Sus scrofa: one gene and its partner. Each later gene encodes a partner of the first gene's protein in a complex. Links are inferred from orthologs where the notes say so. Each region holds a gene or a part of one and is shown on either strand. Other genes may lie near its edges. The genes, in order: LMAN1 and MCFD2.

Region 1 (7,993 bases):
AGCTGAACTGAGACTAGGAATAAGTCTCTTGATTCCTAGTGGTATGTTCTTTTCACACTGTTCAAGCTTTCTAACATTTGTAAACTAGTAAAAATACATGACAGTTTTTAAAAAGAAAATATGCAAATCTTAGAGGTATTTGAAAAAGAACATTATGAGAATCAAAAAGTTGATTTGTCTTTTAAGCTGTAATCTCCTTGCTCCTGCCCCTTGAATTTCTAGTGTTTGGTGGCAGCTTTAATTTTTTTGGCAGAGCTATTTCATCTTCAAAAGCTAAGGGGGGTATTAGAAGCCCCTAAAATTTAAAAGTTGAGACTGTCAACATGGAACTTTTTCCCTAATAAAGTTACTGTACAGGTAACTGAGTTAAAATCAGATTTCTATAGGTATATTTAACAGTTTGATGATGATTCATTGAGCTTTGCCTAATTATAACATAAAGCTTTACTTCTCTGATTTCTATTTTAGATGCTATTCCAAGTTCAGATCAGATTCGAATAGCACCATCATTGAAAAGCCAAAGAGGATCAGTATGGACAAAGGCAAAAGCGGCCTTTGAGAACTGGGAAGTTGAAGTGACATTTCGAGTAACTGGAAGAGGTCGAATTGGAGCTGATGGCCTGGTATGGCAATTTCTTTAATTTGGAAAATGTGTATAAATGCATATGCTACTAGCCTCTAAATGTTCCCTGTTATATACTTACAGGCAATTTGGTATACGGAAAATCAAGGCCTGGAGGGCCCTGTATTTGGATCAGCTGATATGTGGAATGGAGTTGGAATATTTTTTGATTCTTTTGACAATGATGGAAAGGTATATTTGTTTGCATGACTGTTACCCACTTTAATATATTGGCTAACGAAGTTAGGCTGTGAGCACTATAGCTTATGATGATTAGTCTTTATCTAGCTGGTAATTTATAAATTTAAAGCTAGGAGTTCATGAGTTGTCATATACCAACTTGAGGTCACAGTAGAACCTTCTATCTGAGAACTTTTCAATACCACCTCCCCAGCAGCCTCTTTACGTTTAATAATTTTGATGGATCAACACGAATCATTTAGATGTAGGCAGTGAGACCAGTAGTGTGTAGAAGATTATTACTCTTTGTTTTCATGAAAACATGTCCATTACTACTACTAGCTTACATTTTGATATCTTTTCATATGTTAATTACTCTTTTGATCAGCCAACTTCCCTAAAACAAGAACAAAATGTACTTACGAATTGGAAATATTAACCTGTGCTTTTGCAGCCCTCCTAAGACTATTCATTGTTTCAACCGGTAGTTTACTGATTATTAGAGGTCATTAGTAACAATTTAAAGGAGAACTTTTATATTAAATTCCTTAAATGCTGAGGCCAGGTTTGTCTTTCTGTTACTCAGCTCCCCTAAGTCCACTAGTCACAAGCTCAGTGTCCTAGAATTTTAGAGGTATAAGAGAACTTAAAGCACACCCGGAATTCTTTGATCTAAAGAGTTTAAAACAAATACATTCTCTTTATTTTTAGAAAAATAATCCTGCAATAGTAATCATAGGCAACAATGGACAAATCCAATATGACCATCAAAAGTAAGTGTGTATTTTTACATTATTCCTAATTTCACATCTTTTTGGAAACCTTATAAAATGTTTCAAATCCGAACATTTTCCAGATGAAATAAGATTATCCTTTTTCTTGAAATGTTTTTTGTAATTTAGTAGAAAGGTCTTATTTTAATTTGGTTTTGTTTTAAATTGCTTCCTGTGGACCACCTAGATTTCAAACATGGAAGTGTGTTACAGTTTACTTAAAATTATATAGTATCTTTAAAGGCTTATGAAACATTCCTGGTTCTCAGTGATGCCAATAGTCATTTTTTTTTCATCTTTATTAGAAAAGATCTTTAAAAAGTAAAGTTCAGAGCCTTAACCAACCTAGTGAGTAAGCAATTTATGCTACTTCCTTCAGCCTTAGTGTTGCTGTATTTAAAATAAAATCTCAGGGAATTCCCATTGTGGCTCACTCAGTGGGTTACAAACCCAACTAGTGTCCATGAGGATGTAGGTTCGATCCCTGGCCTCACTCAGTGGGTTAAGGATCCAGTGTTGCTGTGATCTGTGGTGTAGGTTGCAGACGTGGCTCAGATCCAAAGTTGCTGTGGCTGTGGTGTAGGCGAGCAGCTGCAGCTCCAATTCAGCCCCTAGCCTGGGAACTTCCATATGCTGCAGGTGTGGCCCTAAAAAGCAAATAATAATAATAATAATAATTTAAAAATGCATTCTTATTGGGCTCCAAAGCTTCCAGTCTTTAGTATATTTATAATGTGTATGAATTAGTATGTACATTTTAAGTTCTCACATGTGTGTTATGGGGGGAATTACCTTTTACCCAGTGAACTATAAGAAAAATTACTTTCCTCCTTTAGTGATTTTTAACTCAGGTAGTTCATCATGACCACCTGTTGAACTGTTTAAACTAACTCAGAGGTACTAGGGCCTCCCTCTCCTGATTCTGCTTCAGTTGAGGGTGGGATCTAGGAATCTGCAGTATATGTGACTCTGACTCCTCCCTAGTCTCATGTGGAAGAATAGTATCCCTTCCCTGTGCCAGCAGCCGTGGTAGCATTGGCTCCTTATGTTATCTGGAGTCCTGACCCACATCACAGGAAAAACTCATGTGTTAACTTTTGTTTTCTGCAGGAATAACTTCAAATATTATAGGCCTTGTCAATAACAATACTTGATACTGTTTTAATCTTTCTGGACATTAATCATTTTAAATAGTAAGTTTTTAAATATTGAGAAGGCTTCCTAAGTTTCTTGTTTGTCTTCCTTTCCCTTATACTATAGTGATGGTGCTAATCAAGCTTTAGCAAGTTGCCAGAGGGACTTTCGTAATAAACCCTATCCTATCCGGGCAAAGATTATATATTACCAGAAAACATTGACAGTAAGTAACATGCATTTAGAGATAATCAAATAAACAGTATTCTAGTGTGACTCTCATTCTGAATCTTTGATAGAAATTAAATGCATTTTAAATCTGGATATTGTTCACATACTCATCAGTGTTACTACGAGAGAACAGAAGTGACTTCAAAGCTCCATTTAAGTGGTCATGCATTATCACACCTTGCCAGAAGGTTTGCAGTTGGTCAGTGAATGTGTAGGCATCCTACTGTGTACCACACAAATATGAGTAAGACAAAGGTCATTTTCTCCAAAGCATTTGTCTTTCAATGGAAGAGGGACTTAGGTAACATTATGCTTGTGTAACATTAGTGTGCTGTGTGATGATGCTACAACACAGATACCATTGAGGAATCAAGAGGCTGGAGTCCTGTAACTCTTCCAGGCTGGAGTGGGTACGGTCAGGAACAGTTTTTCAGAGTTGAGCTGCGCCTTGAAGGGGAAGTTGGAGTCTCCTAGACGGGGTGTGTCAGGACCATTGAAAGATTTGGGAAAGGCATGTAGTTGGTATTGCTGATGGATAGAGGAGATTTGGCAAGTGAGGTTGAAAGGTTGGCAGTAACAGGTCTCACAGCCTCATGTAGTTTATCCTATAAGGAACTGTTTTAAAGAGTTTTAAGCAGGAAAGTGAAATGATCAGGTTTGATCAGTCATTAGAAAGATGACTAGGCAGCAGTGTTTTTATAAGGGTATTTGTGAAAAGGGCAAAAAATAGGATGATTTAGACTCCTTGACTCTTGATGGGTGCACCATGTGCTTGGGACTTTACATGCAATTTCTCCTTTTTTTCTTTCAGTTTTGTTGTAATATAACTAACATACAGCACTGTTAAAGTTTTAAAGGTACAGGATAATGCTTTGGCTAATATACATCATGAAATGATTATCCATTAAGTTTAATGAACATCCATCATCTCACATAGATACAAGATTAAAGAAATAGAAAAAAAATTTTTCCTTGTAATAGAACTCTTAGGATTTACTCTTAAAATTGACCACTTTCATATATAACACACAGCAGTGTTAATTGTACTTATCATGTTGTACATTACATCCCTAGTACTTATTTATCTTGTAACTGGAAGTCTTTACCTTGTGACTATCTTCATCCAATTCCCACTCTCTACCTCTGACCCCCACCTACCCACCTCTGGTATCCACAAATCTGATCTCTTTTTCTATGAGTTCGTTTTTTATTTGTTTTTTCAAGTAAAATTGACCTACAGCACAATGTTATTTCCTGATATACAATGCAATGATTCAGTATTTCTGTACATTTCAAAATGATCACCATGCTAAGTCTGGTTATTTATCACCACACAAAGATACTACATAATTATCGACTGTATTCCCCACACTGTACATTTCATACCTGTTACTCATTTATTTTGCCACTGGAAGGTTGTACCCCTTAATCTCTTTCACGTATTTCTCTCCTCCTCCCCATCTTCTCACCTCTGGCAACCACCTGTTTGTTCTCTGAATCTGTGACTCTATTTCTGTTTTGTTGTTTGCTTGTTTTGGTCTTTAGAGTCTACATGTAAGTGAAATCATACATCGTTTTTCTCTGTCTGATTTACTTTGCTGAGCCTAATACCATCTAGGTCCATCTGCATTGTCTCAAATGGCAAGATTTCGTTATTTTTTATGGCTGAGTATTATTTTATTTTTTATTTTTTGCTTTTTAAGGCCTCACCCGTGGCATATGGAGGTTCCCAGGCTATGGGTCCAATAGGAGCTACAGCTGCCGGCCTAGGCCACAGCCACAGCAACATCAGATCTGAGTCGCATCTGCAACCTACACCACAGCTCACCACAACACCAGATCCTTAACCCATTATTAAGTGAGGCCAGGGATCAAACCCTCAACCTCATGGTTCCTAGTCGGATTCTTTTCCTCTGCCATGACAGGAACTCCTGGCTGAGTAGTATTCTATTCATTTTCTGCCTTTTTTGTTAACATGACTTGCACTTTTGCTGTCCTTCTGCTAACTGAGGACAGACCAGTTACTCCCCTAACTTAATGAAGAGGCGCTCATTACTTGCTAAGGCAATGTAGGGAATTCTGTACTAGCTATAGTAATAATTGCCAGTTCAACCTATTCATTGTAGTTTGCCACTGCGGTTTCAGAACATGCCTAATCCCTCTTCTTTGTGAACCATTCAAAGAAAGACTGTGGTTCCCAAAGTCTTCTCCAGAGAAGGTGAACCACATTCTGTTTTAGAAGGATTTTCATGGGAAGTTACTAGATTTTTCTTTTTAAGCCTTGACACATAGTAGGGCAAAATACATTTTCTTAAGTGAAATATCTTAACATATAATGATACCAAATAAGTGAGTTTATTTAATGGATGAGGGATTACCCTTTATGACAATGAGAGAAAGCTAATGGCTTTTAATTTTTTTTTAATTTATGTCTTCCAATTTTATTGAGATGTAATTGACATATAATACTGTATCAGTTTAAGATGTCCAACATAATGATTGACTCTGATAGCTTTTTGACAGTTTTTAGACCAAATATAAAGGTCAAAGAGTCATGCACTGATTATGTCTTTCTAGGTAATGATCCATAATGGCTTCACACCAGATAAAAATGATTATGAATTTTGCGCCAAGGTAGAAAATATGATTATTCCTGCACAGGGGCATTTTGGAATATCTGCTGCAACTGGAGGTCTTGCAGGTAAAATATTGTTATCTTTTAATATTAAAAGATTGTGAATTGAATTTGATTGAGAATACTGTATTTTGGAAATGTGTAGCCTGGTTTATTTTTAACTTTTAAGACTAGTTATAACTGTCCCATAGTCTGTGGTGCCAGTCTTTTGGTCTCTTGGAACTGCTGATTCTCTGTTTGCTTTCTGCAGGCATATAGTTGGCTAGGGCTACGTAGTTATGTAAATTAAGAGTATCAGTTTGGGTACACTATTTTATAGTGAAGGAGATATATTTAAAAGGTTAATTGCCAAGTGTTTTAGGATCCTGAGAGTTGTCACAGAGCATTTAAATGAATTTGGGGAGTTCCCATTGTGGCTCAGCAGGTTAAGAACCCAAATAGTCTTTGTGAGAATGTAGGTTTGATCCCTGGCCTCGCTCAGTGGGTTAAGGATTCGGCATTGCTGCAAGCTGCGGTGTAGGTTGCAGATGCGCCTTGGATCCTGGGTTGCTGTGGCTGTGTTGTAGGCCAGCAGCTGCAGCTCCAATTTGACCCCTAGCCCGGGAACTTCCATATGCCACAGGTGCGGCCGTAGAAAGGAAAAATGAATGAATGAATTTGGTAGCCTGAGGAAATATTAGGAACTAAAGTTCAAAGAAAATGTACTTTCCATTTTTTTCCATGTGTGGTGATAAATGAACTTACCATTGGATGTTAATACCATCTTGTGGTCATATTGTAGAATATCTTTATTATTTTCAAACGTTTGCGTTTTTCCTTAAAATGACACACGGTGGGAGGGAGAGAAGATAGATCGTATTCATCCTGTTGTTACATGAGTTTGCCAAATCTTGGATTAAAAGACTTTGTAAAGAGCATCAGGCTAGTACATCAGATCCACGCAGGACTTGATTTGGATTTCTGGCTCCTGGGTCCAGTGCTCTCTTAACACTGCATGACTTTTCCTAACATTACCTAGCCTACATTGTGGTATTATAATTTTCTTTTTTTAATCTGGCTACATATATAGATCTCTATACAAGTGACAGAAAGCAAAGGGATATTCACAGTTGAAATTCACTTATCTTGCTTTGTGGATATGACATGAACCAGGCTGAATATTTTAGTTCCAAGGTGTGTGGTTTGATCAGTTAGCTATTTCTAGCTTAAACAGCTTGAAATTAATTTGACTTTTTAATACAATTTTAGGTGAAATAAAATTGTTAATACCTACTGTGTAAGGGAAAAAATATAAATGATGTATAGAAGAGTAACCATAATATCTAAATCAGATGCTTTGAGAGTAAAAGGAGATAACAGATAAATCAGGACTCTCCCTGTAAGCTAGGACAGAGCAGTGTCGTATTTAAAATGGAAAGTAGGGCTGGGAGTGGTAAGTGCCATAAGAAAGCTTCAGAGACAGCTAGGAGCAGAAAGTACATGAAGGACAGGATCTTATCTCACTGAGACACAGTCCCTGAAGGAGATTTGTAGGAAAAAAAAAAGGAGAATCTTAGTGCCTGGATTAGTACTTGGGGCTTGTTTGGACCCTTCGTTTATTTGTTCCTTCCCTTATCAGACATGTATTAAACATCCATAATATGTTAAACACTGCTAAATATTCTGGTTTTGTATTTAAGAAAAATGAATTCCAGCTTAGTTTCAATATAAGTCTTTCAGATGAACTTTTGTCTTTTGTGCATTTACCAAAGTAGAGCTAATTTTAGTTATTTCCCTTATTGATTATTATTTTAAAGCAACATATGTCTGTAAAGTATATTCACAATCATAAAGTCTATTATGGCACTTTTTCAGATTTTTTTTTGCTTTTTTTTTAGGGCCACACCTACAGCATATGGAGGTTCCCAGGCTAGGGGTCGAATAGGAGCTACAGCTGCCAACCTAGGCCACAGCCACAGCAACACCAGATCTGAGCCACGTCTACAACCTATACCACAGCTCATGGCAATGCCAGATCCTTAACCCACTGAGCGAGGCCAGGGTTCAAACTCACAACCTCATGGTTCCTAGTCGGGGATTTGTTTCTGGTGCTCCATGACAGGAACTCCAGATTGTTTTATTTTGTTTTGTTTTTAATTTGTAGATGACCATGATGTCCTTTCTTTTCTGACTTTCCAATTGACTGAGCCTGGGAAAGAGCCAGTAAGTATACTCATTTTTTTTTTTCCAAAAATTTATTTACAGTTTAGTGGTAATGCCTTGTAGCTAAAAACTTGAGAGGACTGACTTAGGTTTGGGTCTTGTTTCTGCCAGTTATCGCCGTGTGCCCTGATACAGTTACTTAACCTCTATAATGCTGTATTTCTTCACTGGTAAAACTGAGATGCTTGTACTGGCCATGTTGATGTTGTAAAGCAT
Region 2 (8,480 bases), on another chromosome or scaffold:
TGTCCGAGGTGATAGGAATGTCCTTTGTTCTGCAGTGACCCTTGGTGGGCTGTACCCACTAGCCTCCAAGAAGGGGAGATGAACTGGAGATGGAGTTATGATTGATTGTGCCTCCATAAAAATCCCAATAGGGCAGGGTTTGGAAAGCTTCTGGGTTAGTGAACACATCCATGTGTCTGCAGGGCGGGGCACCCCAGCTCCAAAGGGACCAAGGCTCTTATGCTTGGGGCAACCTTAGACCTATGTATTTGCTCATCTGCACCCTTTATGATATCCTATATTATATAATAAACTGGTAAATTTAAGTGTTTTCCTGAGTGCTGTGAGCTGTTCTGGCAAATGATCAAATCCCAGGAAGGCATCATGGAAACCTCCATTTTGAAGCCAAGTCAGATGGAAGCCATGGGGGTCTAATACTGGTGCTTGGCATCTAAAATGAGGGGCAGTCTTTTTTTTTTTTTTTTTTTTTTTTTCCTTTTAGGGCTGCACGCGCAGCATATGGAGGTTCCCAGGCTAGGGGTCAAATCAGAGCTGCAGCTGCCAGCCTATACCACAGCCACAGCAACACAGGATCTGAGCCGCATCTGTGACCTACACCACAGCTCCAGGCTTGAGATTTTAGGGACACATGATTTCCTCAAGCATTTGTTAGACTTCCGGTCAATTCCCTTTTTTTTTTTGCTGTGTAGGGCTGCACCTAAAAAGGGCCCCATATGAAAGTTCCCAGGCTAGAGGCTGAATCAGAGCTGCAGCTGCTGGCCTATACCACAGCTATAGCAAGGCCAGATTCAAATAGAGTCTGAACCTATGCCACAGCTCACAGCAATGCCAGATCCTTAACTTACTGATCGAGGCCAGGGAGCAAACCCACATCCTCATGTGTATGAGTCAGGTTCTTAACCTGCTGAGCCACAATGGTAACTCCTGCAATCAAATAATTTATCTAGGGAGTCTTTAAATGATTTTCTGATGAAAGATTAAAAATTTTCCCCAAGTAATTAATTTACTTACTTAGATTTTTTTTTTTTTAATTAAAGCAGCACTGGAGTTGCCTTCCTGGCTCAATGGGTTAAGGATCTGGCATTGCCATGAGCTGTGGTGCAGGTCACAGATGGGACTGGGATCCTGCGTTGCTGTGGCTGTGGCATAGGCTGGCAGCTACAGCTCTGGTTCAACCCCTAGCCTGGAAACTTCCATATACTTCGGGTGCCACCCTGAGGGGAAAAAAAAAAATTAAAGCAGTACAAAAAGGTATAAATTGAGGTTATTTCCACCTCTTTTCTCTAATAGTTTTCTCCTTGAAGAACAAGAAGGGACTTCTCATCGTGGCACAGTGGAAACAAATCTGACTAGGAACCGTGAGGTTGTGGGTTCGATCCCTGGTCTTGCTCAGTGGGTTAAGGAGCCCATGTTTCTATGGCTCTGGTGTAGGCTGGTGGCTACAGCCCTGATTAAACCCTAACCTGGGAACCTCCATATGCCGTGGGAGTGGCCCTAGAAATGGCAAAAAGACAAAAAAAAAAATAATAAAATAAATAAATAACAAGGAAAACCAAATATTAGCCTATTTAAGTCTTCTAGGGGGTGATCTTTGTGTGCACCATTGCAGCGGAGGCAATTCAAACACAGCAGGCAGACATGGCACCTCTAGCCCATCCTCACTACCTCAGGCCTCCACCTTATCTCCTGATAAAGCTCCCTCTTCATTGTCTCCATTGGTGTTGGCTTTGGCTTTGTATTCAAAGAAAATTGTTTATTTCAATCCAGAAAGACTCCAAATTGTGGGACTCAGCCAATTTAGGTCATAAGCTGCAGGTAAGATGTTGCTCTCTTACCAAGGTCTTATTTTCTTTAATCTCTGCTTTCAAATCAGTTATCTCTAATCTGGATTCGCCACTGTCTTGAAGGACTTTGCTGAAAGGTACTTCAAAAAAAAAAAAAAAAAAACATCCAACACTCACTAATGTTCTATATTGTTTCTGAGCTTCCTCGGGCCATACAACTTTGGGCATGTGGGTTTTCCCCAAGGTCCAGCAAGTGACAGCAGCTCAACACTTTCAATTTGCTTAACAAGTTGGTCACCAACTTTCCCACTTAGAATAGAGCCTTAACCTGTGGCTACCTTGCCCTTCAGTTAACCAATTCCACATTTTAGTGTCTGGTTTTATGTCTTACTTATGGGACCAAATTATTTTCCTGTTAGGAATCTGTTCAGCTACAAGTTATAAAACATACAACCTAGAGAGGGCTTACACAAACGTATTGTCTCATGGACTAGAATGGGGCAAGAATGGAGACGGGGAGGTCAGTTGGGAAGGTCTCACCTAGTCTAGGTAGTAGATGATTGTTTCTTGATGTCAATGATATCTCAATAAAGTTTTTTTGGGGGGGAACCACTAGAATTTGGCTTGAAAAAAGTGAATGGCAGTGACATTTACTAAAATGGGCAAAACAGGGTGGTACATGTTTGGAGGTGAAAATTAATATATCGGGGGGCCAAGTTAAATGTATGCTAGTTAGACACTCATGTGGAGATATCACTGAGCTTGTTGAAAGAAGAGACCATGTCTTGTTTGTATTTGAATTAGTAAGAGTTTCTTCAGGGACTTTGGGATCCTGGAATTTTTCTCTAGGGTAGGGTTGACAGATTTCAAACTCAGTTGAAGGTGGGAAAAGGAATGAGTCATGATCAGTAGCAGTTATCCCGATCAACTTGCAGGGCCCTGATCTCCTAAAGCAGACTGCAGGGAGTGTTCTGGGATCATCTACTTAATCACTTTCTTTCTCTGTCTCTCCCTTTCTGGATCCAGGCTCACATGAAAATGACTATGTAGGAGTTGCCGTCGTGGCTCAGCGGTTAACGAACCTGACTTGCACCCATGAGGACGTGGGTTCGATCCCTGCCTTGCTCAGTGGGTTAAGGATCAGGCATGAGGTGTGGTATAGGTTGAAGATGTGTCTCGTATCTGGCATTGCTGTGGTGTAGGCCAGTGGCTTCAGCTCCCATTGGACCCTAGCCTGGGGAACTCCATATGCCTCAGGTGTGGCCCTAAAAAGACTGAAAAAAAGAAAAAAAAAAAAAAGATTATGTATCTTTATGGGCACAAATGGGAGAAGGAATTTTAAAAATGACAGTCCTACATTCACTTACCCATCTGATCAATAACTATTCACTGAACAGTCTTGTATAGGAGAAAAGGTATAAGGGCAGAATCATATGGGGCTTATCTGTTTGTTTCCTTTGTTAGTGGGTCAGTTTTTTGGGAGTGCTTTTTCCTGTCTTGAATGATGACTGATTTCACAAACCGCACAGGTAAAGTGGTATTTGAACTGGGCTGCCCATAAAATCTTGGTGGGACTCATATACGAGTGAATGTGTATTGTAGAAGATGCAGCTTGCAGAATGGAGCAATCAGAGGCTGCACGTAGGCCAGTCTTGGAAACGAGGGATCCAAGGCCAGCTCCAGTGTTTTTGGCTGTTTCATCATGAGAAGAATTAAAATTCCTTACTGCTGACTAAAAGAAAAACGTACAACATAGAAGTTGTGAGTTAAAAGTTTTATTAAGGGAACTTACTGGGGACTATAGTGGAGGAGACAGCTTCTCGGCTCTGAGGATCTGCTCTCAAGAGGTAAGGAACAAGCTAGGATATATATGAACTCTTTTGAGGGGAAAGACATCTAGTCAAGCATCAAAAGATTGCTGCTAATCGCAAAGAACAGACATCTCAAATTAATGCTTTTAGTGTCATTCTATGAAAGAGAAGATGCAAGAATATGGGGTCAGTTGAGAATTTTCCTTAGAGATACAGCTTAACTGAAGCCAGTATATCTATAGTACAGAATGTTTCCTGTTTTTCTCCATTCTGAATTCCCCTCAGGGCACACGGTGGGTGGGCAAGTACAGTGGCTCATGGCTTGATCCTCGGCGAACAGGACTGGCAGGCAACATTTTTTCTTTATACTATTATACTTCCCAACTTGCAGTCAGAGGAATGCAGGGACCTGTAAATGTGGAGGTGGAACCAAAAGCCAGTTTTGGCGCCCACCCCGTCGCATTAGCCATCATTTCTCTCTGGGGGGCTTCCTGCATTGCCTAGCAACCTGTCAGGACTCTGGGGGTTCAGATAGCCCAACGCAGGTCCCCACCATCCTCACCCTCTGGAGGGTGGGCAGAAGAAATGCCTCCGCCTGACCTTTACCGGGCCACGGTCCGTTACACGTGGAATCGCCCCAGCGGCCCGCACTACACCAGCGGAGCAGGGGAGGGGCTTCACGGCGCCAATGGGCGGGCAGAAGGGGCGCGCGTGCGCACAGCGGACGGGGAGTGGGGCGGGGCCAGGGCCAGGGAAAAGAGTTCTGAGGACCGGGGCTGTCGAGGCTCACGCCGGGGTGCTTCGCTTTTGCGGAAAGCTGTTTGGCAGCTGGTGGCAGAGAGGGTGAGTGAACCACGGGACAGTCGTGATCTGGCTGCGGCCTGTGAGGCCTGTGACCCGACCTTGGAGGAGGAGATCCGTGGGGCGGGCCTCAGGGGTCCTCAGCAAGGCGCGATCCCGGCGTCCTTCAAGGATCCCGGGGCTTCGGGCTCAGGTTGGGAGACAGGAGCGGCCTGGCTGCGGGTCTCGGACCCGAGCCGCCTCGAGAAGATAGCTGACTAGGAGAAGAGCCTCTTCCCGGGGAGAAGCCGCAGGGGCGATAAGCCTAATGGGCGCGGCCAATCTGCCGTGACCTGCGCGCGCGGGCCTGAGTCTTTGCTCTCCGTCTGCCCCTGGTACTCCGTCTCCCTCCGGGGGAGACAAATAAACAGGTCCTGTTGGGCTGGCGAGCTTGGCCACGTTGTGCCAGGGGAGTGGGGGAGGCGGGGGAACTTTGTATTCCCCTCTTGTATTTTTTGTCTGGTATGGCACCGCCATCCACCTGATTGCACAAGCCGGAAACCTGGGCGTCCTTCTCGTCCGCTGCACCCTTTACCCATCCACATCGAATCCATCGCAAATCTCTGGATACACCCACTTCGTCACACCCAGTCCCTCTGCTCTAGCTGGTTCAGGCCACCATCATCTCTCCCCTGGACTTCCTTGGTAGCTTCCTGACTAGCTCCCTGTATCTCCTTTTTCCTCTGTAGTTTGTTATGTACTGGAAAGCCAGAGTGATGGTTTTAAAACACAAAAAAGTCACCAGACCTACTCACTCTTCCCTTACTGCCTTTCTGTGAATTCCCATTGCTCTTTCAAGCTCTTGGACGGGCTTATGAGACCCCTCATGACCTTTCCTCTTTTTGCTTTAGTCTGTCGCATCTATCTCCACTATACTGTGTTTTCAACCACATTGAACCATTTTTGGTTCTCAGATTGGACATTCTTTTGGGCTTAGGCTAGAAGGCTAAGACTTGTTATGTCATTCCCTCTGCCAGAGGTGTTGTCCTTTAATTGAAGAAATCCTCTTTCATGTATTAATCCAGGTGTGGATTGGGGCTTCTGTGGTATCCTACAGCTGACTTATTTACTCTCTCTTTTCCCACCAGGCTGAAATCTGTGGGACAGGAGCCAGTCTGGGTCACAGTCCTATCCTCAGAACCTGTCAGCACCAGGCTTCTAGTAAAGCGTGTTAATTAAATGTATAAGTGGAGTTCCTGTCATGGCTCAGTGGTTAACGAATCCGACTGGAAACCATGAGGTTGCGGGTTTGATCCCTGGCCTGGCTCAGTGGGTTAAGGATCCGGCGCTGCCATGAGCTGTGGTGTAGGGTCGCATGGGAACCTCCATATGCTGCGGGAGTGGCCCTAGAAAAGGCAAAAAGGCCCCCCCCCCAAAAAAAGATTAAATGTGTAAGTGAAGCATGGCAGCTCCCTGGGTCTCCAAATGAACAAGTAGATCAAGTTATTGAATGTCTGCTTTTTCAGAACCAGTAGTCAGCCCCCAACCCATGTAGAGGTTTCTTTGTCTAGGAACTTGGTTCCTTTCTTGCCTTCAGTCTAGCACCATGGCTGTTTTAAATGGGCAACTGTCAGCCAGAGTTTTTCTTTGGCATTGACTCTGAGCACACGATGTCTGGATGTTGGTGAGTGTGGCTGCTGTGGGTTCGAAGTTTTTCCTGAGGGCCCCAGCATGAGGGAAAAGTTGCTAACAGCTGCTGTGGTTTTCATGGGAGGAAGGCTGGCTCCAAACTCTTCCGTGTGGCCTAACGACACAATGAGAAGGAAGGGTGGGCCAAGCCGAGCCCCTGGTGGGAGGTCTCCAAAGCAAAGTTGCTTTTCTAGCTTGGGTCAGCTCTTCTGTGATAGGGAACAGCATGGCTCCATGCCAGGACCCACTGCCCCAATTCTGATGAAGGCGTGCTATGCCAGGTCAGCTCAGCAGTTTGTGATAAATTCAGTTGGGTAAAGGAGAGGCAGAGAAAATAGCTTCTCAGCCCTCGCAGAGGGAGGAAAAGAGAAAAACAAAAGGAGAATACAATGTGACCGTATGTCAAGGCCAAGTGAGTGCAAGAGACTGCAGACTGAGGTCATTGGAGGTCACAGTTAGTCTTGGCTGGGAGAACCCCGAGATGACATTTGAATTGGGCCTGGAAGGAAGAGGGAGGACAGACAGATGGAAGCAGTGGAACAAAGGCTCTAGGACTGGGAAAGATGGCTGGAGCAGTGAGGGAAGCCCTGTCACTGTCAAGGCACTGTGGGAGCCTGCCACCATCCAAGGTCCAAGCTTCCTCCCAGGCCTGGCGCTTCTCCTCATGAAGGATGTTTCAAAGTGGGGTTGTGTTCCAAAGTCTTCCTTTCAGAAATCTGTCCTCCTTTGGATGTGTCTCCAGCCTAGCCCTTCCAATTTCTCATGGGCCACTGAGCCCAGGAACTCCTGGGGCTCATCTGCCAAGCTCTTTGCTTATGGCCTTGAGCTGAGTTGGAGTGTGGCTGATGCAACTTGTTCTTTGGACGGAAAGGAGTTGCTGATATTTCCTTTTCTGTGTGAACAGTTTAACTTGTTAGGTGGCAGTCAGATTTCTTGTCCTCATTGTAGCACTTGTACAAGGGAGTTTCTCTTCTGTGCTCATAGATTTGGCTTTTGTTGTTTTCTTTTTTTTTCTTTTTTTGTCTTTTTAGGGCCTCACCTGAGGCATACAGAGGTTCCCAGGCTAGGGGTTGAATCAGAGCTGTAGCTGCCAGCCTACACCATGGCCACAGCAACACGGAATCCAAGCTGCATCTTCAACTTAACATCACAGTTCACAGCAACGCCGGATCCTTAACCCACTGAGCGAGGCCAGGGATCAAACCCGCGTCCTCATGGATGCTAGTCGGGTTCATGAAGGGAACTCCTTGTTGTTTTCTAATGCTTAGAAACCTGCAACAGCTAACCAAAGTGGGCTAAGTCCAAAATGGATGGTTCCTGCCCTTTATCCTGCCTCCCTTGAAGAGGGGACCATTTGGACCCAAAGTCACTGTATTCCCAATCACTTGATTGCCTTTTAGTATTGTTTGAATAGAAAATCTCTCCCCATACCCATCTGATATACTAAGCATCCAGCCAAGTAAGTTCTAGGAAATAGTGCCATGGGTCCCATGATCACTCAGCTCTACTGTCAGATAGATGTATCCAAAAACAAGTTTTATCTTCAGTTACATTAACATCAAAACCTGGCCGCATATCTGTGAAGCTGGTAATCCCCTGCCCCTAGCCCCCAAGGACCACAGCACACAGGCTGAGAACCACCAGCCTCTGTGCAGGCACTGTGCCCAGTGCGGGGAATGTGGATCCGGTCCCCACCCTCACTGAGCCCGGTCCAGCAGGGGCACTGAGGGGTTATCAGCATGTTCAAGGTCTCGTGCACAGCTGTTGTCAGCCTTTCCACTTAGGAGCAAGTGGAAAGAATGCCTAAGTTAGGCGTTCCTGTCGTGGCGTAGTGGTTAACGAATCCGACTAGGAACCATGAGGTTGCGGGTTCGGTCCCTGGCCTCGCTCAGTGGGTTAAGGATCCAGCGTTGCCGTGAGCTGTGGTGTAGGTTGCAGATGCGGCTCGATCCCACGTTGCTGTGGCTCTGGTGTAGGCCAGTGGCTACAGCTCTGATTAGACCCCTAGCCTGGGAACCTCCATATGCTGTGGGAGCAGCCCTAGAAAAAGGCAAAAAAAAGACAAAAAAAAAAAAAAAAAAAAGAATGCCTAAATTAGATTGGAATTGAAGACGGCTTGCTGAAGAGAGAGCTCCAAGGCCGATGAATCAGAAAGGCCTGGGAGGAACTGGCTTCCCGCTCTGGTCCGTCTGGTCCCAGAACTCTACAGTATGTGGTCAGAACATGTTGTTCTGCTCTGGTTGGGGCAATCTCTGCAGAGAGTAACTTGAGACCTTGTTTTCTCTACCAGGTACAGTGTCAGTGGCCTCATCATTGTCTGGACACTTTTTTTTTTCTTGTTATAGTCTCACCTGTGGCACATCAAAGTTCCCCAGCTAGGGGTTGAATCAGACCTATAGCTGCCAGTCTACACCAC

Evidence for each region.
Region 2: the proteins of LMAN1 (region 1) and MCFD2 are in contact, whole or in part, in a cryo-EM structure (PDB 8JP5), measured with the Homo sapiens proteins. The link is inferred for Sus scrofa from reciprocal best matches to the Homo sapiens genes LMAN1 and MCFD2. Residues at the interface, in NP_005561.1 of Homo sapiens: His43, Arg44, Arg45, Phe46, Tyr48, Lys49, Ser51, Phe52, Lys53, Pro55, His56, Gln59, Ser60, Asp61, Val64, Pro65, Phe66, Trp67, Lys96, Phe265, Glu273, Lys279, Glu280, Ile281, Glu285, Lys286, Tyr289, Glu292, Phe293, Phe296; in NP_001164977.1 of Homo sapiens: Val59, Ile60, Asn61, Lys62, Gln70, Glu71, Leu74, His75, Phe77, Lys78, Tyr82, Asp83, Asn86, Asp89, Gly90, Leu91, Glu92, Thr95, Thr98, His99, Val100, Leu111, Glu114, Leu117, Ile118, Ile121, Asp122, Leu125, Asp129, Lys130.

The regions. Positions count from the first base shown.
Region 1 is NC_010443.5:161,610,694-161,618,686, forward strand, and holds part of LMAN1 (protein ERGIC-53), read left to right. Parts: intron 1-468; coding exon 469-623; intron 624-706; coding exon 707-814; intron 815-1,513; coding exon 1,514-1,575; intron 1,576-2,835; coding exon 2,836-2,935; intron 2,936-5,517; coding exon 5,518-5,641; intron 5,642-7,718; coding exon 7,719-7,777; intron 7,778-7,993. UniProt on the Homo sapiens protein: Mannose-specific lectin. May recognize sugar residues of glycoproteins, glycolipids, or glycosylphosphatidyl inositol anchors and may be involved in the sorting or recycling of proteins, lipids, or both.
Region 2 is NC_010445.4:93,616,756-93,625,235, forward strand, and holds the start of MCFD2 (multiple coagulation factor deficiency protein 2), read left to right. Parts: upstream 1-4,165; 5' UTR 4,166-4,180; coding exon 4,181-4,438; intron 4,439-8,480. UniProt on the Homo sapiens protein: The MCFD2-LMAN1 complex forms a specific cargo receptor for the ER-to-Golgi transport of selected proteins. Plays a role in the secretion of coagulation factors.